Lytechinus pictus: one gene and its partners. The protein of the gene in region 3 purifies or fractionates together with the protein of the main gene of each other region. This does not show direct contact. Links are inferred from orthologs where the notes say so. Each region holds a gene or a part of one and is shown on either strand. Other genes may lie near its edges. The genes, in order: structural maintenance of chromosomes protein 1A-like, structural maintenance of chromosomes protein 3-like and nipped-B-like protein A.

Region 1 (10,548 bases), on a different chromosome or scaffold from region 3:
AGCTAAAGCTGATAAAAGAGTGAGTACTGTACAGGTATGAAAAAAAAGAACAATATATAAAAGGGAAAGCATAACATGCTTGATAGTACTTTCACTTCATCTTAACTTATCTATATTAGTATTAAAGCATTTACATTTTATGAATAAAACATAAACAACAATGCATTATGTAAATTGTCACCTTGGACATTTTTTTTTTTCAGGACTAGTGAAGACATTTATTCTGTCTTAGTCTTATACTTTTAGTGCATATGTTTAACCAACTGCATACATTCCTGAACACAAAAAGGGCTGCTGCATTGTTAGGAGCTTGCACACTATTCTTTTTTTGCTTAATCCTCCTCTTTTCTGCTACACTGCACAGAACTGACACAAAATGAGGCCCCCCCCAAAAAAAAAAAGATGAATGCAATTAAATTGTTTTCTGCTGCTTGTTGATAGGGACAGGCAGTGAGATTATTGGTAGAAATTGAGGTGTGTGTTGGAGGGAGCATTGTGAGCTAGATACCCTAGGCAGATCATATTTCAACCTTGGTTGGGGTAGGTTATGTTCACCTCCTTGTGTGTGAGAGATGTTGCTAATGTGTCCTAAATGTTGAGACTGGTGTTAAGAGGGCTTTAAGAGATTCAACACTAGCAATTACAGGCTGGCAAATCCTAAAATCCTTCATGACTGCCAAACACGCCATGATTCAGCAACAAGGACCGGAATCACCAAGATATCCTTGCAGTTTTGGTCTACCGCTTAGCTGGGCTAAGAGAGAGTCCCGTGTCTGTCAAGAAATAGGACACCGGCTCTGTGCCTGACTGTACATTTGTTGCAATAGCTATACCTAATTTCAATGTAATTGGGTCTTTGACGGACTTGCCGTCAACAACATGAATGATATTGAGGAATGACGCTGCGTTCCTGATGATTACCTATCACTTTCACTAAGACCATCAACTCGAGAAGTTTTCGTTCGTCAAAGTGTAGAGGTGTTGGAATTGGTCATCCACTTTCATCGAAAGAAAGTAGGACTTATCCGAAATCGATAGAATGTTATAGATAATTCAAAAACTCCTTTCTTATTCAAACAAACAAGGGAGAACTCTTATCATGATTTGTTTACTACATGCAATGATTGATTGATTTCTTCAGTAGGTGTCCACTCAAATTTAAACAAACAAAATCAGTCTTAAATGGTCGGATGAAATATTAGATGCTTATTGCATGCTTAATAAGCTGCCATTGTGAGAATATTGAATTAAACAGTGGAAATATATACTTCATGCTTTTACCATTTCTCATGTTATTGGTCGTGTGTTATCCAACATATTTATCAATAAATTGATCCTAAATTCAAAACCAGGCAACAAACAAGTGACATTTTTGGCGACCATGGAGGGACCAATAACATGAGAGATAAATCAAGAGATAGCAAGGATAACAGCCACGATAACCAAATCCTGTAGATTGATTTATCATACGTATACCTAAATAATCTCACAATCACGATGATAACATGGACTCTACCAATGGGGGCGCTGTGACAATACTTGGCATATAGATTTTTAAACTTGCCACCCACAGCAACAATCATTTCTATCCTCGATTTTTATTTGTTGTTGAGAAACGTCACTGTGGTGGTTAACATTGATTGGTGAACTTATAATTAATAGAAAATTTGCAATAGGGACCTGGCATTTGATCTTAAGAAAGTTTAAAATACATATCAGGTGTGATAAGTGATCATTGCTGGGACATACATGTAATCATTGTGGCTAGTTTCACATCTCACAAAAATATCAAATTAATACTGGTAACTGTTTTCAAATTATAAAAAATTTCATTTTCCCTTACCTGGAACACTAGAAAGTTCCTAGCTTTGACAAGGATACCAATCTTCTCCAAGGCTTCTGCATACTGTGCTGCACTAACCACTTTATTATCAATCCTGTATTCTGAAGAAGCTCCCATGATTCTGAATGGCAGTCAAATAAAATTGCAACACAATCAACTTTTCATGAATAAACCATGACACATTTTCTGAACGCTTCTAACTGTCTATGAATTGCATCAAAGCTTGTAACAATACTTGAAGCAAATTAAACAAGCAATTTGACAACAAATCAAGGAAATCCACAGAACTACCATTTCTGACAAAGAATGTCAAGTGGCTCTTCTATCTTCCTACATCTATTGATTGCAAATCTTGACTCAAAATCAATCATCACAAGTTTTACTTGAAATTTTGGAATTGAATGCTGGTTTACTGATGCAAAAAGAGAAAAGAAAAAAAAAGAACTGATTTTGCTATACCACTATCACCCATAAAGATTGATAAATTTACAAGCTATATTTCCACTTTAACCCCCCCCCCCACACTATGCTACTACTATTTGCCTAAAACTGTAATATGATTTTTCACTTTTTCCAACTTGCAAACATCAGAACATTTGTTTTGCTGTGGAATATGGACATAAACTACAATAAATTTCACATTGAAAACTGCAAACAAGTTTTTCTGCAAGATGCAACATCCCCTTTGGCTAGGGATCATGAAGGGCACCAAAAATGTTTTTTTCCCTAATTGTAAACAAACAGAATGAAAATTGATTTACATCCGGGTAAACTGTGTCTCGCTACCATCTTCTTCAGAATAGATTGCTGAGACTGTAGCCCGATTAGATGCTGGTTTGCCAATAGGAGCTCCATGAATCAGCTCAGAAAGTCGTTTAACACGAAGATTGGATGTTTTCTCTCCCAGTACAAAACTGATGGCATCCATCAAGTTGGACTTTCCTGCAAAATTACAATCAACATTCAAGAATGCAAGTTTAGTATATCTACAATTTGCAAGCATAGGAGAAATATTCAATATTTAAGGGATCTTAATTTACTACCGGGTATATGAAATTTAAACTTGCAATTACTATTTGATATTTACACTTGCAATCAGGAAGATTATCTTCAAGATACAAGTAAATGCACAGGGGTGGTATTCGTTGATGCATTTTATCTCAAGATAAAATATTTTGTTTATCTAGATTGTTGAAATCAGTGAAATAAATAATATCCATAAATTCTCTCCAAATTTGTATTCTGAGAACAATTTTTTTTTTACTTTATATCCTAAAGGCACACATATTTATGATGCAATTTCAAATGAGAAAGGCTGTTTCATAGCACTCTCACCAATTCATTTAACCAATTAAAATCCTTTCAACCAGCTACCACTACCAGAAGGGACAAAGGAGGGACATTCATGGCATTGATGATGTGAATAGAGATCTATTCTTCACATCAGCTATCACTCAAGCAACGAGTGGCCATCTATACAAGCTGTTTATGGAAAGGAATATACTGAATACGAGACAGAAAACTTTCAGTGTCAGAGGGGTCAATGACTGGAATTCTTTGCCATCTGAAGTAGTTACAGCATCAACGGTCAATAGCTTCAAGACTCGGTGATCTCACACTCATCAATGAAGTTGGCAGAGTACAGCAAGTCTGCATATGCCGACTTAAAGGGGAATCCAACCCAAATAAAAACTTGTTTTTATAAGGAAAAGAAAAATCAGACAAGTTGATAGGTGAAAGTTTGAACAATATTGGACAAACAAGAAAGTTATGAATTTTTAAAAGTTGTAAATATTGGTAATCACTTTACCCATGGAGGCTTCAAACTGGCCGCATATGGGATGTCAGAGTGATGTAAGGCAAGGACTACTCTTCCACGTACTCCAATACATATTATGGCTAAAATGTCATTTTCCCCAAAAGTTTTATTTCAAATTATATTTTTCTTCCATGAGGACATAAAACAATATACTACCTGGGTTATATTTAGATTACTGCCCCAGGGGAATGGGTACTTAGGAGAAAACCGCAAATCCCTGATCATAAAGTACATGGCCTATGGGAAAGTTGTCCTTGCCCCCTGTCATAATTTACTTACCCAGTTGCCAATTTGAAATCTACATAGTATTGGTGATCTCAATTTAAAGCAGCTATAACTTTCTTATTGCTTGTCCGATTTCTTTCAAACTTTCACCCTTCTGTTTAATTTATTTTTCTCCTTCCTAACACAACATTTTATGGCCAAGGCTGGATTCCCCTTTAACCCAAGACAAGACAAGGTTTGGTCTTCGTTGCATTATGACCACCCATGGGAACAGTGACCCTTTTCACTGCATGTTACAGGACACAGAATGAGAAATTTAATACCCTAGATAGGAAGACAACATACAAGATTGACCTGGAAACTTGTCTGCAGAAACAACTGTATTTTTCCAGTAGATCCGGTATAAAGGTATAAAAGAGTGAGAGAGCACCAACAAGCCTTGTCGTCATAGTTGTGTGCATTTGACTTGTGTATTACTGCGAGTGCCATACAAATGCATTACGACTAGATCTAGAGTAAAACCCCCAAATATCGGACAAAAATTACTTAAACTCCCTCCCCACAACTACAGGGACCCGCACTCGCGGGGGACTTGCATGCATGTGATACATTAACATACCTGCTGAAGTCTCGATAATTTTCGATCGATACTGGAGCGATCTGATCACGAACCAAGACCATTTCCCGCATAGACAATGTGACCGGATATCGTTATCGCTATCGATACTTTCGCATGCAGTCTGAAGGAATTATTTTGGCGACCATGTAGTCATGACATGATCTGCGCGATTGACCAATCAGCAGTCTCCGAATCGCTGTGCAGAGACTGTCTATCCGTTGTACACAGTCTATGGACAATTTGCCACTGTGCGTTTTGAAGATCAATTTATAGATAAAAATTATGATTTAACAAATAAAATTTAAAACTTGATTATAAATAATTACTACTACAATAATAATTAGATCTATTTATAATCAAGTTTCAAAATTTATTATGGTCTAGAACTATTGGTTGAATAATAATTTTTATCTATAAATTGATCTATGAAACGGCATTTTGTAACATCGCTTATCGAAGCTACGTCATCAGTCATGTCAGTAGAGGCGCTGGTCCAAAATTTGGGATTGTCCTAGAAAACAAAGATATCCTCATAAACCAAGACAAATCATGTCTTGATAAATTGAGATTGTCCTTGATATGGGGAGTTTTTTTTTTCACTTAACCCTGCAGGACATAAACGGCAATTACGGCGTTGAGAATGCTAAAAATAGATTCAGTGACCTCAATAACCCTCCAGTTCACCGTCTATTTTTCACAACTTGCCATCTTCCAATAATCTTGTTATGAAACCTGATATGTTTACATTGACTAGCCCATTTAATTGGGGTCGGCACTTGACAGGAGAATGAACTTTCCTAGATTTCTTGTGTGGAGAAATCTTTGAAAACTGACAGTCCCTGTAAACCGGGACGATCCCAATTTTCTGACTAGCGCCTCTACTGAGTACTGGTCATACTCATAACGAAGCAGTTCAAGGCCAAGGGTAGGGTCATGCCTATTTGTATTTGCGGTGTTCACGAATGGATCGAGGGATGGAAAGAGTTCCATATGCACCCCCCACCAAAAATAACAAAAGATTGTTGAGACTTCCGGTTCGTTCACTTCAGATTTTTCTGTCATTTTTTTACTGTTGCTTACCTTAGTTGGGACTTGAACTCACCTCGTTTTATCTGCAGTCAAGACCTCTTTCCGCTACGCTTGCGAGAAGCGCTGATACCAGAAGGGGTATATTTTAACGATTATCAGCCGATAGTTCGACTAGTCTTGACTCACAGACCCTTATTTTACTGACTAAATAAATCAATGTCTATGGACAATTACACACACTAGATCCTGCTCGAAATTTGACGGAATAAAGCCATATTTTGGTATTTACACTCCCCATCATAAACTTCTAGATCTATTTTAGGTCTAGATATATTATTCTGAACCTTTTTGGCCTTCTCCATGTTTTTATTTTCAATTTTAGTGGGGGGTGCATATCATATGGAACTCTTGCCCGAGGCCAAAGGATCTACACGAGATCGGTCTGGTACCAGTGGTACGAAACCTCTCATTTTTCATATTTATACTAACGCATTAAAGGCGTATGACTGAGGTTCGATAAAATTAAAGTCAAGACTAGAGAAACAAACTGATTTCAATTTTCACCCTGGGCCTGGCTCTGTCCACCCACGGCTACATCTCAGCCGCCGACTACAGAATAATTGAAGGCACGGTGCATTCAACAAATAACGTTAATTTACGAAAAATTAATACAAGGACTTACAGAATGAAGTCCTCCTACGAAACTTACGAAACGATGTGAAGTCAATTCCTCATAATTCGATGAATATCCCTCAAAATGCGTCATTTAAGCGTTGATTTTTCTTCTCGTTGACAAAATACGAGAGCTACCTTTCTAGCTCTTAAATTTTTCGTCTAATGAGCGAAAGAGGGCGCGTGATTTATCTTCATATCAAAGACACTACAATTGAAAGACTAGACACAGAAATTATCTTACACGTAAATCGATGCAAAGCGTTACGCGAAGTCGGCAAAGTGTTCAATCTTTTTACTGTAAAGACTTTGGTGGAACGTTAATTGACAAACGAACGGTAGCACTTGCGGGGCTTTGTTCAAGGTACATAGAATTTTCTATATTTTTTGTTTAATTTGTCATCGTTTTGAATATCGTCAGCAAAAATAATAAAAAAGTACTTTTTTTAAGTTATTGCATTTATTGGGGTCTCTATTTTATCAAACAATTATTGGAATTGCGCATACAATGAATCATGAATCTAGTTTAAACAAGGCAAACGCCAAGCGTTGTCTCGCCTGCATATTGCAGTCCTGAAGAGACTGCATGTCAAAACTATGCTATATGACTTCTGAGGCTGCAACTTCAAGAGATGGACCTCTGTTACGAGTTTGGCGATCCCACCTCGAAGCTATAGAAAGTTATTGTGTGTACAATACAGCACAGTGCCAGTCATGGAAAGTTCATTGACCTTTGACCTTAATCAAATTCAACTCACATTCGAACTTGACCTGCACCTTCAAGAGATGGACCTCTTATATGAATTTGGCGATCCTACCTCGAAGATATAAAAAGTTATTATGTGTACAACACAGCACAGTGCCAGTCATGGAAAGTTCATTGACCTTTGACCTTTATCAAATTCAACTCATATTCGAACTTGACCTGCACCTTCAAAAGATGGACCTCTGTTATGAATTTGGCGATCAACACAGCACAGTGCTAGTCATGGAAAGTTCATTGACCTTTGACCTTATTCAAAATCGACTCATATTCGAACTTGACCTGTGCCTTCAGGAGTTGGACCTCTGGTATGAATTTGGTGATCCCACCTCGAAGATATAGAAAGTTATTATGTGTACAACATAGCACAGTGCCAGTCATGGAAAGTTCACTGACCTTTGACCTTAATCAAATTCGACTCATATTCAAACTTGACCTGTGCCTTCAGGAGATGGACCTCTGTTATGAATTTGGCGATCTCACTTCGAAGCTATATAAAGTTATTGTGTGTACAACACAGCACAGTGCCAGTCATGGAAAGTTCATTGACTTTTGACCTTTGACCTTATTCAAATTCAACTCATATTCGAACTTGACCTGTGCCTTCAAGAGATGGACCTCTGGTATAAATTTGGTGATCCCACCTCGAAGATATAGAAAGTTATTATGTGTACAACATAGCACAGTGCCAGTCATGGAAAGTTCACTGACCTTTGACCTTCATCAAATTCGACTCATATTCGAACTTGACCTGCGCCTTCAGGAGATGGACCTCTTGTATGACTTTGGTGATCCTACCTCAAAGCTATAGAAAGTTATTGGGTGTACAACATAGTACAGTGCCAGTCATGGAAAGTTCATTGACCTTTGACCTTAATCAAATTCGACTCATATTCGAATTTGACCTGTGCCTTCAGGAGATGGACCTCTGGTATGAATTTGGTGATCCTACCTCGAAGCTATAGAAAGTTATTGGGTGTACAACACAATTGTTGACGACGACGACGCCGGAAATAGTGATACCTATGTCTCGCTCCGCCACGCAGGCGAGACAAAAATACCACCAAGCTGAATTAAGGTAGCGAACTGTATTAGCGCCACCAACGACCTTCCTTTTATTTCCGTGGAAGAGACGTGCGAAGCCACTTTCCAGGCGGAGGTAAGCGATTTTGCTCTTTTTTGTGTCCTTTTTAAATAAAAAAATGTTAAAAATTGATAATGGAACACTTTCTACCAGAAAAAGCCCTGGTGAGTAGCGGAATGGGTTTCGGCTAACATCATTCACGTTATGAAGCGATGTTAACGACAACTCTAAAATCCACTACAAAAACATGTTGGTTGTGCGAGGTTCGTATAGCATAAACTAACCTCGCAATAGTGTGAGTGGGCTCTGTCTAACTCTAACTGTCTTATGGGGTGTTGCAAGAAAATATTTGCAATCAATCACAAATATTCTTTTGCAATTTTACAGTTGATTGGTCACTTTTAAGTTTTAACTTTGTCTTTAGAAAATCAGATTACACTCCTTGTTTCATGGAGCAGATTAGCAATCAATCGCAAATTTGCAATTAATTGCACCGCATTTGCTTGATTTCGGGAATGAAAATAGACTTGCAATTGATCGCAAGTTTCTTGCAACCAGGGTTGCCAACTGGCCTTTTTTCCGGCCAGATTCCCGAAATCTGGCCGTAAAAAAAGTAGCTTGGCCGTGAAAAAAAAAAAATTCACGGCCAAACAAATTTGGCCGTATTCTGGCCGTAAAACAGAAATCTTGGCCGTGAGTTTTCATTTCTGGCCTTTTTCATAATCAGATAGAAAATTTGATCAGAAAATCACTTTAAATAGGTCTATGTATATACAAATGCAGTCAGGTCTACGGCATATACATAGAGATAGAGTAATATTAGTATACATCTCTATGGGCATACACTAACTTATTAGTGCATACATGCATTGCATGTCTGTCTACGCATGACCGCAATCACAGCATGCGTTCTCAAAACGCGCGATTAGTTGCGTGTGGTGGAGGGGATTCTTATTTTTATTTGGCAACCAGTCACCAACATCATATTTTCGCCATCATATATATTATATTATTAACGTTTGTTTTCTTAAAAAAAAGTAATTGAATAAAGTAAAATTCAAATATTTAGTTCTTTTTCCTTTTTATTTTTTCTTTTTCTTTTCTACGTCTTTTTTTCTCTCTTCTTTTTATTTATAGGATATCTACTAGGATTTAAAATCGAGTAGGTGTTTCTCACAATTTAAAATCAGGGCTTTTACTAAAAATATGTGATAAAAATATGCCTACTAGTATGCAAGTAGGATGACAGAGAAAGAAATGAGGAAAATCACAGCTCCAACAGGGGCGGGTCCAGCTTATCTGAAGGCTGTGTAGTAAATTTGCCATGTACCTGTAGTACCCTATATGTATTAGTCTGTGTATTAGTCTATGTATTGATCTATGTTCATGTATATTAAGTCTGTGTGTGTGCTGTGTGCATGCGAGGAGCGCTCCTGATTGGAGGAGCCTTTATATGCTCCTACGCCTGCTACGTGTGTGCGTTGCACAGCACGTACACAAGCTGGTGCTGAGAGATTAGATCCAGACTAGACACCAGAGAGAGAAGACCCCGAGACGCCATCGAGTGAGGACATCCCAGAAGCTCCCCACTCGGCGCCATGGTCTGCAACCTGCATTAATTAGAAGTCTTGAAGAAAGCTGTTATCTGTATCTACCTGGTGGCATCGTCAGTGCAAGTGTCAGGTGAGTATTAGTTGTTGTCACTGTCTTGTACCGTCGAAGTAACCCATTTGTGTAATTAGTGAGTCGTAACCCGTGTCAGTGTCGTACTTGTAATTAACCAACCACTCGTGCCATCGTATATATATATCGTATGTGTCTCGTGCCATCACATAACCCTCACAACTCCCATTTTTACAACATTGGCGATTGCGAGTTTTCGGATCGTCCTGTGCGCCTATCATTTTGTTTTCATCATTTCATGTCCGTTCATATTTCATATCTGCTCATGACATTGATTTGTGAGGGATTTTGAAGTGAATAACGAACAGAGAGTGAGTGAGAAGTTTTCCGCTCTCTACCGAGAATTGGAAATATGCGTGCCGTGATTGCGTGGATTCGCATGCATCTCGCACACATCTTGTTTTAGTTTTATCATTTTTCCGTACATGATATCATTTCTTGTTTTATACAAGTGGATTTTGGTATATATTTGCCATATCTACGAAATTATTTCATGTCCATTACGTTGCATTTTCATTGCAACCACGTGGTATTCTCTGTGCACACCAAAGGTGCACACGCCCTTCATTGTTTGTTGCACTTGCATTTCTCATCGCATTCTTCGCGAGTCTCTTCTATTGTTTGGCTCGCGATCAAGAATTTCGTTCCTTGCATATTTTTGCGTCGCTTACCATCTCGTTGCTTTTGTTTGAGAATTCTTTGAAATCTGCTTCTAGGCTTGGATATTTTTAGTCCGCCATTGTCTTTAAAGATTTCTTCCGAATTCGGAACATTCACACCACTTCCCAAAAAAAAAAAGTCGGGTGTGAGT
Region 2 (10,895 bases), on a different chromosome or scaffold from region 3:
GTCTCAATATCAATAATTTTCGGCTCGCGCTTCGCGAATGCGTTCATTGTCTGGATATGCATCATGTTAATTATTACAAAAAGTGCTTAGAATATTCCTTTTTAAGATCTTAATACTGAAAATAATAGGCACGTGCTTAGCGCTCGCATACGTTGTTTTCGTTAGATACGCATCATTTTCATGATAAAAAACCCCGGACTAGAATATTATGTTTTATTTTGACTGGTCGAGTGCAGAGTATATACACAATAGACCTATATTTTGAAAGGGGTGCGATTTTAGCACTTGCCCGGGCCTCGTTTGTTCTAGATACGCCACTGTGGACATGGTGGACATTAAATTAAACAATGCGAGCGAATAGCGCGAGCTGAATATTATTATGGCCCGACAACTGGACATTCTAAGCAGGTTTTTTTAATGTAAATATCAAATTATATGTACCTCAGTAAACAATAATTGCAAGCGCGAAGCACAATAAGCTATTTTTTACATGTAGACATAAAAACTAGACATTCCTTTTGCACTTCTTGTAATAATGAATACGAAGGGTATATCATGCTCAACAATATATATTTTTTTATATATAATTGATCATGACTGGACGTTGTAAAACAATAAAGAACAAGCTGTTTGTAGCGCGAACTAAATTTACTGACATAAAAGTGAATATCTTAAAAGCGCTGCCCAACACGTAAGAAACTTGTGAAGATGATAATGGAACAGTCTGAATGATGCGAGCGCGAAGCGCGAGCTAACAATTTTGGCGACTGGGACATATGGCCGGGCAATTTTAATCACTGTACGTAAAAAAGAATGGGCTTGATTGTAAGGCGATTTAGACCTAAAACCTATATACATTCAAATCTCTCTCGGAACATGAAGCAATTAATTAGAACCGCCCTGTGTGACAGTATATTCTAATCACTGTTGGTATAGCATATATATACACGGAGTAATGGAACATTCCTTCGTGACCCAACAGTTATATCATTTTTCCGGTAGGCGTCAGTCCGACAGCCTCTTTTCTTTTCATTTTTTTTCTTTCCTTCCACTTTTCTTCTTTCTCTTCTTCCCCATCCTCACTTCTATTTTCCCCCTCTCCCCCTTACCCCGACATGGGAAGGGGGGGGGGGTCATACCCTGTTAGAGACGGCCTTTTAATATAATAATACAATAATGCTCATTCACAAGAATTTGTTTTAAAATACACGAATTTAAGTGTATTGTTATGTGATAGTTGTGGTGATGATGTATGACTAATTGTTCCATGGAATTTGAATGTTTCAGTGATTGGATCGAGCAGAAAAGGGAACTTTCGTGATTGATAACGTGTGACTAATTACACTATTTCATTTTTCATTATTTTCCCCAAATGAATGATATCATGAGGATATATTATTTTACATTTGTTTTATATTGATTTGTTATACTTGTATTTATTAGAAATTTTCATATTGTAATGCTAATTTAATTTATTTATTTTTAGGGACCCCGGGGAAGAACAGGTTGGCTATCAATAGCCAATCTGAAACGGGTCTATACCTACGATTCTGTATTACATGCATTGTAAGCTTCATTACTGTTATATTGTTAATTTGTTATATTGGTTTTTTTTTAATTATTTGATTATGTAATGCTATTTTGTTTATATTTATGCATTTTTTTTAATCGTGAATATAACCAACCAATATAAACAATACCAGATCGAAGGTAAAGGATGCTTCATATACGCTGAGGTTTCATATAAATTGTATGAAGAAAATCAATAACCAATTTACAGGTTTTCAGGTAAACGAGCTAGAAAAGAACACAAAACACTATTTTCACGTAAGGTTCATATAGTAATCAGGGATGTGTAAAAAAAATCAGACTTCTTTTTTACTGTAAAGAATTTACGGAAGGAGGATCGAGAGAGGGGAAGCAGAAGAAAAGAAAAGAGCGGCCGAAAGAAATGGAAAATGTAAAAGAAAAGTGATATGATTTGAAAGATGTCATGAGCGGATTATATGGCGGAGAAACTGAAAGAATTATTGACCCCAATCATGGATAAAATTAAATACGATTCCTACCCCTTACAAAAAAACCATTCAAATAAAAAAAATGAAAAAACCAACAAAGTTTATGGATAATAATTTGTAGGTCTAATAGTCATTATAGTCCGGGGTCTAGGAGTTGAGATGTTTTGGGTTTGCAACTACCCTATCTACCACGTTCCAAAATAAAGTCCAAAACGGATAGGCCCCGATCGATCGGAGGGGGGGGGGGCAATACGTTGATCATGTTGATCATATAGTTTCTCCCCGGGAGTTTCTCATAAGCATCTTACGTGAAGATAGGCCTACCGAAGATTTTGATGGGACGGGAAATCCGGGATGGGAATATCTTTGTTGGGGGAGCTCGTGGAGAACGTAAAAACACACACACACACCCACAAAAAAAAAAAAAACCACGATGGTGGATGTTTCCATGCCAGGGGGGGGGGGGAGAAGGAGAGGTCACTGCCTTTATTCCGAGTTCCTACCCAGCTATGCCCCGTGCATGTAAACATGCACATGACACACGAAGGCCTGTGACTACGTGGACGTAACATGGCCAGAGTGGAGTTCGGATACATATTACAGCTCCATGATAGTGCATTACATGGAGCTCCGGGATGGAGCTATATTGCATTCTCTTCTCGAATCAGTCGACGGACGTTTGCTATATCGTGACCAGGTAAAAGAGAATTATCAACAACCACAAGGATATATCTTGTAGTGCATGCAAAGGTAAACTAAAGAAAAGAACAGAGGGGATTTTTTTTTTTTTTTTTGGGGGGGGGCACAATATAGCTTCTGGAAAATCACGCTCCATCCCCGGCCCCCATGATCCACAAAAAAAAACTACTATTACTCTACACTGTAGATCCGAGATTGTATTTGTAGCCCCGGTTTGTCGCGTTCTTTTCTGTTGTAGTCGTTTTATTTGCTACTAATTTACGTCGCCAAAATATAAATTCATCAAAATCCCATGGTCTGTAAGTCTACAAAGTTCATTATGAGGCATACATGTAGCATATTCAAATGTACAGACAACAGACGGAATGGACATTCACGAGTTCGACACAGTTTGACAGTATGATCATGGACCTATGATATTCCCCCACAAGCGACACACACAGCTACACCCTTTCACACAGGCAATAACGCACATGCATCGATCGCGTATCGCACACACCGAGCGGAGACACAGAAAAAACCCAAAACAAACTAACTTCGCCCACAGATCACGCAAGAAGCGAAATTCCCCGTGGTAAGCTCCGCCTACTTTCTTGCATACATCACAAGGTGGCGCTATATAATATCGATTTAAATTGGAAACAGAATCATGAATCAACCGTCGAGAAGTGCATTTTTCTCTTCAAACATTGCCTCAGATTTTCAGTTTTTAAAAACACTTCCCGAACATGTTATGATCCCAAACTTTCACATGGGTATTTTTGAGCTGTTAGTCAAATGTTCATACCATTTTCAAAAAGCAATATGATAATTTTTTTAATTGCTCACAAAGTGAAACAATCCCTTTAAGTACGTTTTTTTTTATTTTTTTTTTTTTTACAAAATCGTAATTTATTGAGAAAAATCATCTCTATATGTCTCTATTTCATAAAACTTACACAAATATTGTTATTAGATTAATGTAATTTCAGATAACTTGTTTTTTTTTTCAATCATTTTGTTAAAACCAGGGTGAGATATACACATGTTTCAATGTTGTTTTTTTTCATCTGCAAGAGCAGTGCGCATTTTAGCTTTCATGCAGCTTGAGCGCCGCGATGAGCGAGTGCGCCACACATTTTATTATGAAATACACTTTTTTGGGGAAAAATACATTTTTTTAATCACAGAATACCGGTACAATTTTTCATTCCCAGAGGTTGGCAGGTCTGCTTCCCCAGTAGGTTTAGGGCTAAGTGTGTGTATGCATCGAGGTATTAGAGACCTCTCTGTTATGCACACACACTGAGCATAGCCATGTACAGCGCTGCTGTAGCATGGCCACATGACAGTTAGTGTTGAGGGCTCTCATTCCAATGTACAGAATATATTTTTATTATTCTTTTCTCCATATATGACAATAGTTTGGAGCTCTATCTTGACTATGAAACTATGCACTAGTAATGTAATAGATGAATAAAAAATAATTCATACACTGTACTTGCTGCTTAATCAATTAGCGGGTAGGTATTGTGAATGTAACCTTCCCAAATACTGGATTTATGGAAAGTGAGATTTAGGCATACAAAGGTTGCTATCCATCTTTCATGGGAATAGTGCAGGGGATAATTTCTCTTCCCATATTCGATTAGCATTTTTTTATCATTAGAGAAAAGCTCCCGACTAAGTTCTTTTTAGTCTTATTTAAAAGTCTGCTGCACAAAAAAACAAACATGTGCATTACTCAGACCTGCCAACCAGTACGTTTTAGCCGTATTTAGTACATTTTTGCAACCAAAATACGGCAGTTTTTTATTACAAAATCGTAATTTATTGGGAAAAATCATCTCTATATGTCTCTATTTCATAAAACGTACACAAATATGGTTATTAGATCAATGTAATTCCAGGTAACTTGTTTTTTTTTTCAATCATTTTGTAAAAACCAGGGTGAGATATACACAAGTTTCAATGTTTTTTTTTTCATCTGCAAAAGCAGTGCGCATTTTACCTTGCATGCAGCTTGAGCGTCGTGATGGGCGAGTGCGCCAAGCATTTTATTATGAAATGCACTTTTTTTGGGAAAAATACAAAATATTCATCTCACACGGTAAAAATACTGATTTTTTTTGGTCAAAATACTGATTTTTGGGGATAAGAATACTGAAAATGCAAAATACAACTTGGCAACTCTGATTACTAACAGTCTTCAAAGAATGTGGAGCAAATTGCGGTGCAAAACCAGTAGAAATTATTCCCTGTTGTGACAAATAAAGCACTACAAATATCGGCTAGATTAGCCCCCGAACCGAACTACCTGATATAGTAAGTACGGCAGATTAGTCCAGTTACAATTTTTCACATTTGACTTGTTCAATGTTGTTTTTAATTTTTTAGCATGAATAAGCCTGTTCACGGTTGTAAACTGTGCACGAGCAGAAAAAGGTCATTTGAGATAAACCATGAAGGTGGCTTTCAAATTCACCGACATAGGCATTTGTGATTTGATGATTATTCATGTATTCCTTTCAAAATATTCATTTTATCACATCCAAGCTGAAGAGTAATTAAATAGAGCCTTCATAATCACTGGTATTTGACAGTAGCCTAAACAATAGTCAAATGTGCCAAAGGCAGACAATAAAACAGATTTCCAAACTTTATCCCTGATGTACTATTCTAGTCACCTGGTCTATACAATGCCTTTTGTTCCTAGAATTTGAATACCCTACCGGTAAAGCTTACGCAATATCTACATTTGAAAATGATAGTGCTTATCCTAATGAAAATTCACAAAGGTCATTTGAGAAAAGTTGATCATGAGCTAACCGTGAACTGGCTTATTGAGTTGCCTTCCTTTTCTCCAGGTAGTGCTAATATGAATTTTTATTATTTTTTTATCTATAGCCATCCAGTTTGTTCTCAGCGACGAGTTCAACAATCTACGTCCTGAGCAGCGTCAGGGTTTACTGCATGAAGGTACTGGTCCAAGGGTCATTTCTGCCTTTGTCGAGATCATCTTTGAGAACAGCGACAACAGGATTCCTGTAAGTATACACTTGTGGGCTAGCAAATTTTTTCAGGGGTAGCCAGATTTCGGCAATAAATTCAAAGAATACAGAGCTCTTTTTTTTTTTGTCCTTATTTCAAATAATTTTGTCTTGTCTCATCTGTCATTTCTCCCACACTTTATGTCTTTTTGGCTATGTGTTTTTAGCTCGTCCCCAATCAAATGAGAGTGCACCCATCAGTATCAAAATCGTTTATTCTAGCCATATGAACAAGTCAAACATATACTTTTTCTTTAGGGAAATTTCCTGGGGATTTACAAAAAAGGCATTGAAAAGTGCTGACATCTTACGACTTGTGATTTGATGAATAGAAACCTTATTGTAAAATTTGCAGATATTGAATTATTGTACAATCCATACAGTACAATGCAAAAGATGTAGCGAGTGAGTGACATCACTGACTCATATTTGCATATCACCTTGTTGCTCATATAAATGTTTCATGAATCACATGAAAAAAAAAAAGATGTTTAATGAAGAATACGCAAAATTTTAAAATGTTAGGAAATTTCTTATCTTACATGTGATTCCGATGGTATTTTCACCATTATAGTTGTTTGGATTGTGTCTTTTTATTCAATCAATGTTTTGTTAGCTTGGACTTGCCCTTGATAAAGGTTGTGTCGAGGATACATCACTGACCTGGGCCCCGTCTTACAAAGAGTTGCGATTGATCCAATCAATCACTCGATGGAAATCCATCAGTGTCATAATTTTTTTCTACGAAAAATTTGCACAATGTCGTTTGTATGCGAAGAGAAGCGCAGTGAATTTTCAAGAAAACAATGATTGCATGATTATACATCATCGCTAGAAAATATTTTGAAGAAACATGCATATTAGATACGATTATGAAAGTTCATCTGTGTTGGTAAAAGATCCGTTATTTTCTGTTTTTTGTGTTGTGAACCAAAGTTCAACAAAATTGTTATGCATAATAGATGTTGACGTTGCTGGTCGTCCATAGTTGCGATTGATCGGATCAATCGTAACTCTTTGTAAGACGGGGACCCTGGATTCACTTCTCATATATACATGATCATAACTATTTTTACAGATTGAAAAAGAAGAGGTGACCTTGCGTCGTGTCATTGGATCTAAGAAAGATCAGTATTTCTTGGACAAGAAAATGGTCACGTAAGTTGATACCATTTTTAGTAAAGAGTAGTAACAAGAGGTCAAGTTTATATTGCTTAAGCCACATTGGTGGTAGGTGAGTTGCAGACTTATGGGAAATTCACCCTGTTGACAAGTTGGTCTATTTAAGGCAGAAAAAAAGAAAAAAAAATAATGGTGAAGGTTGGATGGAAATATGTCAAAGAATATCAGTTATGAATTTTGTTTTGATTTTGTGACATCACAGTTGAGTAACTCCTCCAAATGAGTTGACTTAGCTAGCAAGCCTTTCCAGCCCACTAGGCACCGCGTTTATGTCCCTACACAATCAGGGGCGAGAAGCACCCATGTGCAAATCAACTTTCCTTGGAAAAAAAATGCATGGTTGTTGTAACAGTAAAACTGATGCATATCACATGATTAGCTCTTAGCTAGTCATTTCATAAGGATCCCTATAACACCAGTCAACCATTGCTAGTATGCATCCATTTTGTGTTGTACAATTCAATCTTTTGATTGCTTGGTACAACTTAGTCTCCATAACTCAGAGTCTCAGACTTCTATTATTTGTTGTTTATAAATAATTATGTCGCATTTAATTTTTGATCTTGCATCTGTTTTTTTTTTCAACCGTTGGGTTCCTTTAAAGAAGACCCTTGTATATATGTGTCCTTTTGAAATATATTTTTTTCAATAATGTGGCTTCTATATCTTTTATTGACTACAGAAAAACTGATGTAATGAATTTGCTGGAGAGTGCAGGATTTTCCAGGAGTAATCCTTATTACGTGGTCAAACAAGGAAAGGTATGGAATTTTATTTGTCAAACAGCAAAATAATCTGAATAAATATGAATGAAATAAAACGAGTATATTAAACAAATCAGATGTACATGTAAAATGAGTTATAAATATGAAATTTGTACTGGGGCAAATCTATGGTGAGTGCTGTTACCATTATACTTTGCCTCTTTATTACTATCGATAAGTAAGTTAGAGATGGTGTTATCTCAGATCCTCATTTCTTATCACATAAGTTGAAAAGAGTAGTTATTAACTGGCATGGGACTACAATTTTTATTATATATTGTAGTCCCATGTGTAGATTTTTATGTAGTAGATAGAGTGTGACATCAACTGAAAACAATCTTCAGAGTCAAGGAAGAAGGAATATTCTCCATTTTCTTGATAGTTTCCAACTAAATCACTTTCAAGGAAATATAGAAAATAGATGAACATTCCATGGATGTAAAGATGTGAAATGTGAAATTTCAACCACTTTTTGGGGTAGTTCTTATTTTTTTTATTACCCTGCTGGTTAACTGTAACCAACCATGTAATGACTTAGGCCTAGGTATTCTATTTAAACCATTTGCATACTGGAATGTTTGTCATGGCAGATTAACCAGATGGCTACGGCCCCAGATTCTCAGCGTCTTAAACTATTGAGAGAAGTGGCTGGTACCAGAGTCTATGATGAAAGAAAGGCAGAGAGTCAAACAATTCTCAAAGAAACAGGTTTGCTACTCTTTTATATCATCCTTTCAGCATATGCATCTCCTTTTATAATGAAACGGATCACATACCCTCTTGTTATTTGGTTCAAATTTTCTGCTATTTATTCTCATTAGCATGCTAATGTTTTTTTTTATAAATTAGATTCTATCATGTTTAAACATCACCGCTGACTAACCCATAGAAGAAAAGACAATTTTTAATTTCTTCTTTCTCTAGACCACATTTGGGACTAGCCTATTGGGACCTGCAGTGGAGGAAGCCTTTTTATTTTGTCAAGCCATATTTCATCATTCTATTGTACTCTGTTTGGTGTTTAAATAATAGCAATGATGATAATATATACATTTGTGATCACCCGGCTCAACACAAACAAAAGTCAGCAAAATTATTCTTAGTTTTGTTTGTATATGGTTTGACATAACATATTCAAAGTTATAGGAAGATAATGTGAATTGTTGAGAAATAAAACTCAGGTTTTGTCTCGCCTAGATCTAGTGTGACGTCAATTGAATCCTTCTGTCATAGTCCTTAAAGAAAGGAATATTCAAAATTTTCTTGGTTGTTTCCAACTAAATACAAATATTTCAAATTGATTTTGATAGTAGATGGTTATTTCATGGATTTATATAGATATGATTATGAAATGCAAATTTCCAGCAACTTTTGGAGAATTTTTTTTCCTTTCCCATATGGACAGCAGTCAGCCCTAGTTTAGTAACATGTTAAGTCGTGTGTAAAGAGAAACCTTTTATTTTAAGACCCTGATCATATGACTTATTATTATATTACACTTTTTCAGAGGGTAAAAGAGAAAAGATTCAAGATTTGTTGAAGTACATTGAGGAAAGACTACAGACACTGGAGGAAGAGAAGGAAGAACTCAAGCAGTATCAGAAATGGGATAAGATGAGGAGGTTGGTATGAGAAATGGGATATAATTAGAAGGGTTTATTGAAGAAGGGTATCATGTAGGAATAAGACCAAGGCATTCCAGTTTTATCATGTTTTATTTATTCCAGTATTCCATTAAAACAAGCTCATCAGCACAAGTCATATTTCATTTTCTTAGACCCTTTTAAGCCTATATAGAGCTTTGGTAAAGGGCCAATAATGTGAATTGAGAGTCAATCCAAGGCTCACTAAAAACAGAAGGTGCAGCTCAGTGGCTGAAATGGCCATGTATACTCTAATATATAACATTTCAATCTTGCAATCTTCCAATGGCTGATTCTGTTAAAGTGCAAATTTGAAATTTGATAATTAATGTTTCTAGCACCCTCTCTCGATAATGTTTTTACTTTGCTTTAAAATTACCCTTTTATCACTTATTATATTAAATTATTAATTGGATAATAGAATCATGTCCTGAATTTTTTTAGCCCATTCCATGCTTGAGAATGGTTTTTATTAAAAAAGAAAATACAGGGATATTTTACTTTATCGGACACCCAATCAAAACGTTCATGCAAAATTGCAAAATTTACCCAATAAAAGGTAAGGTTTTATAATCTTATCATTCACACCTTAACTGTTTTAGGACATTATACTTTTATATAATGTAGTAATGAATTTGAATGGCAACATCCACCTCTTGCTAGAAATAGGCTTAAAGTACACTATTGAAAAAAACTTTGTGTTTTATTTTCTTTAGATCCCTTGAGTATACTATTCACAACCAGGAACTCATGGACACAAGGAAGAAACTTGAAGATGTAAGTCATTGATGTTTATCATAAATATGCCTCAGAAAAGTACCAAATATGCACAGTCTCTCTGAAAAAAAAAAAACTGTTCTAGGGCTTTTTGAAATAGATTTACAACCAACTTCTAATTGGATGTATAAATTAGCATAAGTCATAAAATATTATGTGTAAATGTAGTGAAGTTGAGCTATGCAACTGTAGATAACATCATTCTCTCCCATCTTGCAAATTTTCGGCATGATCCGGTCCCTCTCCCCTGGGACCAACAAAAATAAAAACACTGGGTAAATGGCTAATGTGATTACTGAATGATCTTTTTTTTATGCCCCCGCAGATGAAGTCTGGATGGGGCATTAAGCGTTGTCCTTCCGTCCGTCCCCCCACTTGGTTTCCGCGCAATAACTCGAAAAATATTAAATGGATTTAAATTTTTTTAGGTGTGTAGGTAGATGACACCAAAATACAGGCTAAGTTTGAATTCGGAGTCCGTAGGTCAGAGGTCACAGCTCATTTTATATGCGAGTTGGTTCAAAGGTCTAAATTTGCATTATATATATGCATATTGGTTTCTGCACGATATTAAGTTCAATCATATTGAATGAATTCCTGATCGCATTAAAGAGAAATTCCAGTAGTTGCAGTAAACACTGATTTCATGAGAAAGTCTGTAAAACCAGGCTTAATTGTCAGTATATCATCGAGGATCTAGATCTGGTACAGTTACATAAATTGAACTTTGTGAAATCTGGAAATCTACGCTGAAAAATGTTCAGACTGAACTTCCCCAACACA
Region 3 (10,471 bases):
TCCATGAAATGGCCATCTATTTTCCATAATTCCTCAAAATTATTTTGATTTAGTTGAAAACTATCAAAAAAATGAAGAAATATTCACCTCTTTCCTGATTCTGATTTGAACTTACCTCGGTAAATATTGTAGTCCCACATGTAGACTTCCATGGTGTTCATGGCAACACCATGGAAGTCTACATGTGGGACTACAATATTTACCGAGTTTAAATTCAAATCAGAGTCGGGAAAGAGGTGAATATTCTTCATTTTTCTGATAGTTTTCAACTAAATCAAAATAATTTCAAGGAATTATGGAAAATAGATGGCCATTTCATGGATTTAAAGATGTAAAATCAATGTGAAATTTTAGCAGGAGCGCAATTTTTTGCTCTCCTTATTTTTTTTTAGGAGCGCCGGCGCGATCGCGCTCCTCAAAAATGAAGGTCTGAATATGCATATTTATTCGATCTAAATTAGATAATGGTTAAGCAATGTGATTGGGGATCTTGCATCAAAGATCTAAAAAAATCTTAGACTTCAACTCATACATGTCTGGAATAGGAGGAGGAGGGATACTACGAAAAGTCAACAAAACATACAAAAGAAAATCTGATGTTTACATGTACAAGTGTAGATCAGAGGTTATTGTGCATTGCGACCATTGTCATGTGTCTCACTGTATGTTTCTAACACACAATATTTTTGTTTCCTTGAATTATCAATTTTTTTATCACTGCAACAATGCAGCTACAAAAACATAGGCCGTATTCTGATGTCAGGTTTAACTTAGGCCACGGTCTAACTCTGTGCTAAAATTTTGAGAGCCAAAAACTAAAAAATTCTGTTTACATTGTATATTTTATATGTTTACTGTTTTGTTTCCATTTGCTTTTATAATAAAGAAAATTACTTCAGTTATCATTCCCAGCAGTTACGAATGATTTGAGTGTCATGTGAGTTAATAAATTGAATGAGTACTAATAGAGATTTGTGCCCCAAATGGCTCTCCAGAGTTAAACCACAACTTAAAACCAAGGCTCCGTAACACAAAGATTAGAGATCAATCGCTAAATGAACTGACCAATCAATATCAATGTTACACACGCATTTGGTTTAAAATACTGACCAGGGACCAAGCGGTGCGGTTCTTTCATATTTGCAATTCATCGCAAACCTTTGTGTTACAGAGCCCTGGTCAGAATACGGAATATAGTGTTTAGCATGAGATATTTACACCATTAAGTTGCTACTTTAAGTATTTACCCATCAACTTTGAAATTCAGATATTATTATTGACCCAGCACGTTGAGGATGGAAAAACCAATCCTCATACATAATTTTTTTTTAAATCTTGTGTAGACAGTTTTAAATTTGAGCTATAAACAAAGGACTCTGATCTGGTGAACTTATTATAATGAAAACCATTATAATGAAAACCTACAACTTATATTGCACTTTTTGGAGACATTTTTTTGTAACGTTTGGTAAGTAAATAATTATTATTTACAGATTTCTATATAAAAATTATTGATAGTCACAATTAAAATCGGCATTTGCGCAGCTGAAATAAGTTATTTTCTCAACAATCAAGCAATTATTTTGGGGTTTAGAGCGCGATTTAAATCACCAAAATTGATCGTGGGGCACAACTTTACGTGCCCGATATTTGGAAATAGTTTCCGATATTTGGCAAAAAACAAGCTTCTGGTAGTAAGTAAATAATTTCCTTTTACCATATTTTTTTCAATTCTATTTTTTTATGACATTAATACCGGTATTCAACATTCGTACTACAGAAATACACATGATTTTTATTTGATTCAATGATTGTATTTTTTGTTTTGGTCCAATTATGCTTAAGTGTCCGATATTTGGGCACTTTACTCTAAGTTAATTGGGACACAAAATATTAACAATATTTAGAGTCTAGATCTAGAGTAACACTCCGCCTCCTGAGAATTGAAGACCCTTCCAAAGTTGGGCTTTATCCACTCGCGCACCGGAGAAATGCTGCATCTCTCTGTTCCTAAACCATCCCTTGAGTTGTCTGGAATTCTCCCCCCCTTGGCCCCCAGTGTCCGTTTGACGCACTCTACTGCAGCTGCCCACCCCTACAGAGTCACTGTCCCAAAGTCAAATACTTCTCTTCACCAATCTTCATATATTCCAAGGACGGCTCGGCTGTGGAATTCACTCCCGTCCAACACATTTCCTTTAGTTCCCAACATGGATAGATTTAAGAATAGTGTTGATACATGCCCTAAATTCGACATGCGCCGAGATTCAACATGGCAAACCCATTTCACAAGCCAGCACAAACACCAAAACACACACCAAACACATTTTTATATATGGTAAGGTGCCCCTTGTCTGCGCACATGTGTATCTGTGCGATTCTAATAAAATAAGATATGCAATGACCACAAAATTTACACCTGAAATACATAGACAGATATTCATTTTAAAAATCTGACTCAAAATGGTGGAAAAATAATGAATTTTGGGCATTTCATGTGACGGCCTCAAAATGCAGCCTTACTTATCAAAATCATTGAATCGTGTGTAAAGTGAATGGGTGCGCAGACAAGCAAGGGGCACGTCACCATTGTTTTGTTCGATCTGAAAATGACCGTCCATGACTTTTTCCAAGAAAATCATATATTTCTTTCAAATTTTCACGAGATTTTTGGCACACTTACTCATAAAAATATATTATAGGGAACATCAACTGAAAACTTTTGTGGAATAAAACTCAATTCATGTCTAAACTTATTCTTAAGTTAGGGTTTTAGGTACGCAGACATGGGGCTTCATACATGGCACTATCACTTACCACCAGAAAGTCCTGATTTTCACTAAAAATCCTCTTTAAAAAGTCAAAATTTCCCCCAAAAATGCAGAATATGCGCCATATATCCAGAGCACGCAGCGGCTTAGCTCCATCAGATTTAAGCAGGGTCGCCCACAAATGTGCCAAAAATGAAGAAATTATTGGTTCTGTTCAGAGTACGATAACTTTCTTGCAAATTTAGGATCGTATATTCAAAATTTCCAATCAAAAAAGAGAAAAATTCAACACTAAAAAGCATTGAATTTGCAAAAAAATCGACTCAAGACATGCTTGAAGGTCGGTTTCATTTGACAGGGGCCCTGAACGCAATGCGGGAGCGAATGATTGCCGCAACTTCCGAGTTGCACATCGTCGCATGCGGTGCAATTCAGCGACTCTCGCACGCATTGACTTGAACGTGCAATGCACTAGTACGTCTGCGTGTACACGTATGTCGAACGAGGGGCAGGGGATGCCGGATGTTGAATCTTGGCCGTGAAACATGATTGATATTATGATAATGATACATTCCAAGATTTTATGAATTATTTATTGAGCTGGAATTTGAAAATGAACATTGCAATTAGTTAGGCTACCATATATTTAACAAACACGACATTGGTGCAAAACTGCAAATAGAGATCTAACGTAGTACTAGATTCTATCTGTTTTTTGTGAAAAGAAATTTTATTTAGGGCCTAGGGGCCTACAATAAATACAAAAATTTAGTCTTTTTAAAATTTTAGAACAGAAAATATTGCAGAAAAGCTGTAGGCTAGGCCTAGTGTTAAATAACAATAATCTTGGCTGTGCATGTTACAAATACAAGTCTACCGACTCTGACTAACAGTAACATCACTGCAGAGCAGTAAAACAAAAACCCTTTTGTTTAAGCCCTCGATTCTGAATTGCACAGTCACTACGGAGTACGGGCACGTCGTCGTAGACAGATGCAGCCCCTTCTTCCCCCGTCTCCGGCATACGCCGGGCTACGCACCTATTGAATTCCCGCACAATATGCACAGTGTGTGCGGCGGCCAGTATAACAATAATTTAGTGAATGGCACCCAAGCGAAACACACGACAATAACACACTTCTCAAAAACAAACGTGAAAATCATACTCCGTTTATAACTTACATGAATCTTAAGGAACCATGAGGTTTCATGGAAGAATGAAAAATGACAGTGAATATGTCATAAATCTACCGGTTTTCCGTAATTTTTATCATGACTAGACGCGCCAAAACAACAAAACCGCATCACTTACTTGTAACATTAATGTTATTGGGTACTAAATAGTAGTGCGCGCATAACTTTTTTGATAAATTGAACGAATGCCCTTTTCTATAATTAATGTAATATAAGATAGCATGATGCATTGAAATAAATTTTTTCTCTGTGTGCTTAAATTCCCTTTTCTGATCTTTGATTACATTTTTGGTCACTAACTACTTTTTAATAAAAGTGCACGAATATTCAAAATGGCGATGTCTATCAATTTTACTTCCGACACTATCGCAGTATCGTCTGCCGTACATTGCGCGAATGCCATTCATTATAAAGGTCAAAGTTTAAATGGATATTTACATCCGGTGGTCGTTCCACGTGCAGCGTAGCTAGCTGGGACAAAACTGTTGTGTGTCGGCCTAGGCTAAGGCTAAGTAAAATACTTTTTACTTCTCGGTTTTTCTCATTTTTTTAGAGGGGACACCGAGATTCTATGTTGAATTAATACCGAGAGGCAGATGGATCGATCAGAGCTCCGTAAGCAAGTCTACAAATACCGGTACCGGGTATATTATTACAGAGCTCAGCCTATCCTGACCAGGCCCTGACTCCACTCTCCAGGCAGCGCGGCGGTAGCTGATGTGATTGCTGCCTGTTGTAGCCCACCAGTCGTAGAGGAATTGCCCGCTAGTTCAGCGTGAGTTTGCATGGGCCTAACCCAGAGACCTCCCGCCCGCGCAGCGGGCGGGAGCCCAGAAGCTTACCGTGTATTTGACCATATTCACCGGACTAGGGTGATTTATGGTCTAAATATTTCTCCAAATGAATTGTGAAAACAGAAAGTATACAATTACCACGATTATATGGATGAAAGTCTAACGAGTGGCAGTTTCCTGACATCTGGGAACAGACTGGAACCTCAAAAAAACGAAAAGTTCTCTCCTTCTACCCCCGTTTCGATCGGCCATTTTTGTTAAAAATCGTAACAAAATGGCCGATCGAGACTGGGGTAGAGGAGAGAACTTTTCGTTTTTTTGAGGTTCCAGTCTGTGCCCAGATGTCAGGAAACTGCCACTCGTTAGACCTGTGTGTGAATGACAACAAAAATCCGTATCAAAACAAAAGTAGACGGTGAATTTTTAAAGTAGATGGTGAAAAGGGGTAATTTTTCATGAGGAATCTGCTTATCACATTTTTATTTGCCGCCAAGGTAATCCTTTTGCAGCAAATGTAAACAAAGGGAATTGGTCTCCCAAACTGGAGACTGTCTCTGATATTGGATACCCAAATTCTTTACAAAAGTCTCTGATATCAGAGATAATCTCCCACATTGGAGACAGTCTCCAATATTGGCCGTGCGCCTCTACTGACCAGTGGCAGTCGGGCATGCAACTGGAAATCCTATCTGGAACCAGTTGAGTAACTGGAAATGACTTCCAACTGGAACCAGTTTGGTAACTGGAGATCCTAACTGGAACCAGTTGGGTAACTGGAAATGTCTTCCAACTGGAAATGACTTCTAACTGGAACCAGAAGGGTAACTGGAAATCCTATCTGGAATCAGTTGAGTAACTGGAAATGTCTTCCAACTGGAAATGACTTCTAACTAACTGGAACCAATTGAGTAACTGGAAATCCTAACTGGGACCAGTTGGGTAACTGGAAATGACTTTTAATTGGAACCAGTTGGATAACTGGAACCAATTGGATAACTGGAAATGACTACCAATTGGTTTCCATTTGGAACATTTTCCAGAATTTTACCCAACTGGATCGTCCAATTGAAACCAGTTGATTTGCATATTATCTGCCAATATGTACAGATTAATATTTTATGTGATTTATCATCATTTACAATGTATCTATTCATTTCTTTTCAATCTCAAGTACGTGCCACACTTTTTGAGATAAATGTTTAGAATACTTGCAGTGAAAACCATGTTCATAAATATAGATTATAATTACAATAGGTTAAAATAGTACACCACTAACTGTTACCAAAATACATCAAATAAAACATATTTGAAGATCTTCCATATAAATATATACATATGAAAGTCTGTATTTTAATTTTTATCAATGCCCTTTACATTGGTATTAATAGACATATAACACTGCTTCAGTGTTGGCATGAGCAATAGTTAGTGCAAATGCTAATTAATTTGTAACTAATTAAGTTAATTCCAATTGGATCCAGTTGGAAACCAATTGGTTTCAACTGGTTCCAGTTGCCTCCTATTGGTTTCAACTGGAACCAATTGAAACCAGTTGCCTCCAATTGGATTCAACTGGTTTTAATAGGGAAATTGGAACAACTGGAACAAATTGAAACCGATTGCCAACTGGTTCCAGTTGCTCAATTGGTTTTAACTGGAACCAATTGGCAACTAGCTGGTTTCAATTGGAACCAGTAGTTCCAATTTCCATATTGAAACCAGTTGGCCAACTAGTTTCAATTGGTTTTGCTCTAATTGGTTTTAACTGGATTTTGGTCCTGGGAGTTGTTCCAATTTCCCTGGTTTCAATAGGGAAATTGGTACAACTCCCAGGACCAAAATCCAGTTGAAACCAATTAGAGCAAAACCAATTGCCAACTGGTTCCAGTTGCTCAATTGGCAACTAGCTGGTTTCAATTGGAACCAGTTGTTCCAATTTCCATATTGAAACCAGTTGGCCAACTGGTTTCAATTGGTTTTGCTCTAATTGGTTTCAACTGGATTTTGGTCCTGGGTGGCTACAAATTAAGTGCAAATTAACACACAGCACCACCCTCCCAAAGTCTTATTCTTAAAGCTAGGAAACCAACTGAAAACCCAAGAAGAGAAGCAATCTTATTGGAAAGAGTAAAATGAGAGGAACAATAAAAAAAAAGGTTTCATCAAAATTGTTTATGAAATAAGCAAGTTATGGACGTTTAAAAAGTCCTGTATTTTCTATGGGGACCCTCAAATTGGCAAACGTGCTTCAAAATGGCTGATTTTGTGGACAACTCTCCATTTTGTTTCGTACACAAATTTTCAGATTTTCCTCATCTAATATCTTTCAAATTGCATCTTGCCTCCTGAGCACATCATTTGTCATGGGAAAATATAAGTCACATCACATATGTCAAGATCAGGAGGAGATAATGTGAAAATATGTAAAATAATTAAAGGGGAAAATCTGAGAATTAAATGCGGAGGTGTCAACAAAATCAACCATTTTGAAGCACGTTTGCCAATTTGAGGACCTCCATAGAAGTACAACAAGACTTTCGAACGTCCATAACTTGCTTATTTCATAACAGGTTTTGATGAAACTTTTTTAATTTGCTTCTCATTTTACTCTTTCCAATAAGATTGCTTCTCTTGGGTTTCGGTTTCCTACAGTATAACATCATCATGATCATTACCTAGGCTATGATAACAAAATTAATCACATCTTGACTTGACATTTCATTTTTTGTCTGGCATGGCCTTGCCCTTGGCCCAAATTAAGCATGGCTTGGCTGAGGTGAGGGCATGAAGCTGCTTTTATATTGATTTTGCTGAATGAAGTTCGACACAGACCTAGTGGGCCGTACCCCTGTGAATTGTAATCACTTTTCCTGTTGCTGCAGCATGGTTAGTCTGGTTTTGTAAGAAAAAAGTTTTTGTTCAACTTGCTCTTTAAAAAAATTTAAATTCTGCATCAAGTTGTTCCCCAAACTTGTCGTCTGCGCAGTCCCCCTTATGTGCACACACGTGTGTCTGCGCAATTCTAGTTGAAGAAGATATGCAACAAACACAAACTTTACACATGCAATACATATATTCATTAAAAAATCTGATTCAAAATGGTTGAAAAATAAAGAATTTGAAACAGAGATTTTGTGAAATAAGATATTCATGTTAAATCTTAACTCAAATCGTTAGGTGCGCAGACTTGGGGACCACTATCATACTTGGTAGTTATGATTTTGGTAGATGTGACTGTGAGCCCATGGTGAGAATGATGGGGTCAAAAGGTCAAATAATATGATGGCATGTCCATCGATCCCCTTTAAGTTTTTGTTCAACTTGTTCTAATTTCTTTATATCTGCATCAATTTTTATCACACTTGCCTGGGTCAAATGGTTTGTTGGCTTGGCCTTGGGTAATATCACATATATATGTTTGTTGCCAAGGATGATGGGGTCAAAAGGTCAAATAATATGATGGCATGTCCATCGATCCCCTTTAAGTTTTTGTTCAACTTGTTCTAATTTCTTTATTTCTGCATCAATTTTTATCACACTTGCCTGGGTCAAATGGTTTGTTGGCTTGGCCTTGGGTAATATCACATATATATGTTTGTTGCCAAGGATGATGGGGTCAGAGGTCATCAAAAGGTCAAGTTTTTGTTCAAATTTATATAATTTCTTTATTTCTGCATCAATATAGTGTTTACACTTGGTACAAATGATCTTTGGGTATTAATTACCATTTGTGTGTGTTAATTGTTGAGGATGAACGGGGTCACAAGGTCAAGATTTTGCTCAACTTGCTCTCATTTTTTTTATTTCACCAATTATGATCACACTTGTACAAATTGCCAATACCACATGTGTGGTCATGAGGATGATTGGGTCAAAGGTCATCTATGGGTCAAATGATATGAGGTCATGTCCATTTTTTCAAGTTTTTGTTCAACTTGCTCTCATTTCTTTATTTCTGTATCAATTGTGTTTACACTTGGTAGTTGATCCTTGGGTAATACTACGTGTGTGTTCATGAGGATGATAAGGTTAAAGGTCATCTTGGGTCAGAAGGTCATATTGCATTGATCACAAAATCAGGCGAGACTGGTGGTTCGTGAACCGCCTTGTGTGAATTTTATCCATCTATTTTTATTCACCAAGACACCAGGGGCGGTATTCTGAAAACGTTCTTATCTTAATTTTGTTCTTATCTACGTCACAATCTCAAATTGGTATTCTGAAAACGTTGTTATCTTTTTCTTATCTTTTGTTCTTATCTTTTTCTTATCTTGCTAAATATCCTATGCTGAGCGCGTAAATGTATTACTCGTGCATATAATACAAAAGCGCGCTAAAAAGATAAGAACAAAATGTAGATAAGTGGTATTCTGAAAACGTTCTTATCTTTTCTCTCTCTTATCTTTCACAATATTTATGATATTTCAGATATCTAGAGGGTTATCATATCTCACGATGTCCGCGTTCTTTCTTGCTTAAAATCGATGGCCACTAGTAACAAGTACCCACAAATATTCCTCCCACCCTTTCTTTCATTCACCCTTTATTTTCCCGTCTCTTTTTTCTATCCCTTTTTTCTTTATTTATTTTCTCTTTTTCTTCCTTTCTATCTGTCTTTCTTCCTTTATAGTGTCTGTCTTTCTTCCTTTCTTTAAGTTCATTCTTCATTTATATCTTTTGTTTTATTCTTTTGAATCTTAATTTCTTTACTTTTCTTTTGCTTTGTTTCATTTATTCTTCATCTTTCTTCCTTTTTTATTTTCCCTTTTCATTTTATCCCTTTCTTTCTTTTCTTGAATAAGTCTTTATTTCTGCTTTTATTCTTTCCCCTTTCTCTCTTTCTTTTCTTTTCATTTTTCTTCCGTCACATTTTTGTAATCTTTTTATTTCTTCCTTATTTTTTTTCTTTCATCTTTATACGTGCTTTTCCTTTTGTTCCCTTTTTCTTTCTTCCCTTAATATTAATTTTTCCCCTAATTTTTTTTTCTTTTCTTTTTTTCTTTTTATTTTTGGGTTCTTTTTTACTTTTTTCGTTCATTCGTTTGTTCTTTCTTTCATTTTTTTAAATTTCTGCTTTCTGACACTCTTGTGTCTTATTTACTTTCTTGTGTTTTATTCTTTATTTTTGTTCATTCTCTATTTACTCTCTTTCTTTACTTTCCTCTCTGTGTCTTTCTTCTATCAATTTAAAAAAATCTTTTTCTTTATTCTTTCCATTAATGTTTTTTCGTTTTCTTTTTTTTATTCATTCTTCACTTTTCCTGACTTTTTATTTTCCCTTTTCGTTCCTTTTCTTTCTTTCAATTTACCTTTCTTTCTTTTTATCTTTCTGTAATCTTTATTTTTGCTTTAATTTTCCTTTCATTTTTTTCTCTCATCTTTATTTCTTAGTTTCATTATCCTTTTCCTCTCTTCCTTCACTTTTTACATTTTCTTCTTTCGTTTTCTCTTTCTTTCACACTGTCTTTTTTTTTTCAAACTTTTCTTTTTCGCTTCTTTATTACTTCATTTGATCTTTTTCTAAACTTTTTTATTTTGTCCTTTTACTTTCTTTATTTTTTCTTCCTCACTTTATCATTGATGATCGTTCTATTTCTTTTTCCTCATTTTATTATTCTTTTCTTTTTATAATTTTGAGTTCTTTTTGCTTGCTTACTTTCGTTTACTCTTTTATTTCTTTCATTATTTTCTGCTTTGTTCCTTTCATCTTTT

What was found.
Region 1: the proteins of nipped-B-like protein A (region 3) and structural maintenance of chromosomes protein 1A-like purify together in Homo sapiens (affinity purification with mass spectrometry; 3 studies listed by BioGRID and IntAct, with this or other methods). This does not show direct contact. The link is inferred for Lytechinus pictus from reciprocal best matches to the Homo sapiens genes NIPBL and SMC1A.
Region 2: the proteins of nipped-B-like protein A (region 3) and structural maintenance of chromosomes protein 3-like purify together in Homo sapiens (affinity purification with western blotting; 4 studies listed by BioGRID, with this or other methods). This does not show direct contact. The link is inferred for Lytechinus pictus from reciprocal best matches to the Homo sapiens genes NIPBL and SMC3.

The regions. Positions count from the first base shown.
Region 1 is NC_087247.1:37,511,088-37,521,635, forward strand, and holds the start of structural maintenance of chromosomes protein 1A-like, read right to left. Parts: upstream 4,136-10,548; 5' UTR 2,847-4,135; coding exon 2,605-2,846; intron 1,965-2,604; coding exon 1,844-1,964; intron 1-1,843. UniProt on the Homo sapiens protein: Involved in chromosome cohesion during cell cycle and in DNA repair. Central component of cohesin complex. The cohesin complex is required for the cohesion of sister chromatids after DNA replication.
Region 2 is NC_087256.1:20,111,274-20,122,168, reverse strand, and holds the start of structural maintenance of chromosomes protein 3-like, read left to right. Parts: upstream 1-5,598; 5' UTR 5,599-5,743; intron 5,744-6,824; 5' UTR 6,825-6,896; coding exon 6,897-6,904; intron 6,905-7,610; coding exon 7,611-7,689; intron 7,690-8,282; coding exon 8,283-8,400; intron 8,401-9,199; coding exon 9,200-9,314; intron 9,315-10,051; coding exon 10,052-10,112; intron 10,113-10,895. UniProt on the Homo sapiens protein: Central component of cohesin, a complex required for chromosome cohesion during the cell cycle. The cohesin complex may form a large proteinaceous ring within which sister chromatids can be trapped.
Region 3 is NC_087255.1:30,316,574-30,327,044, forward strand, and holds the start of nipped-B-like protein A, read right to left. Parts: upstream 4,103-10,471; 5' UTR 3,954-4,102; intron 1-3,953. UniProt on the Homo sapiens protein: Plays an important role in the loading of the cohesin complex on to DNA. Forms a heterodimeric complex (also known as cohesin loading complex) with MAU2/SCC4 which mediates the loading of the cohesin complex onto chromatin.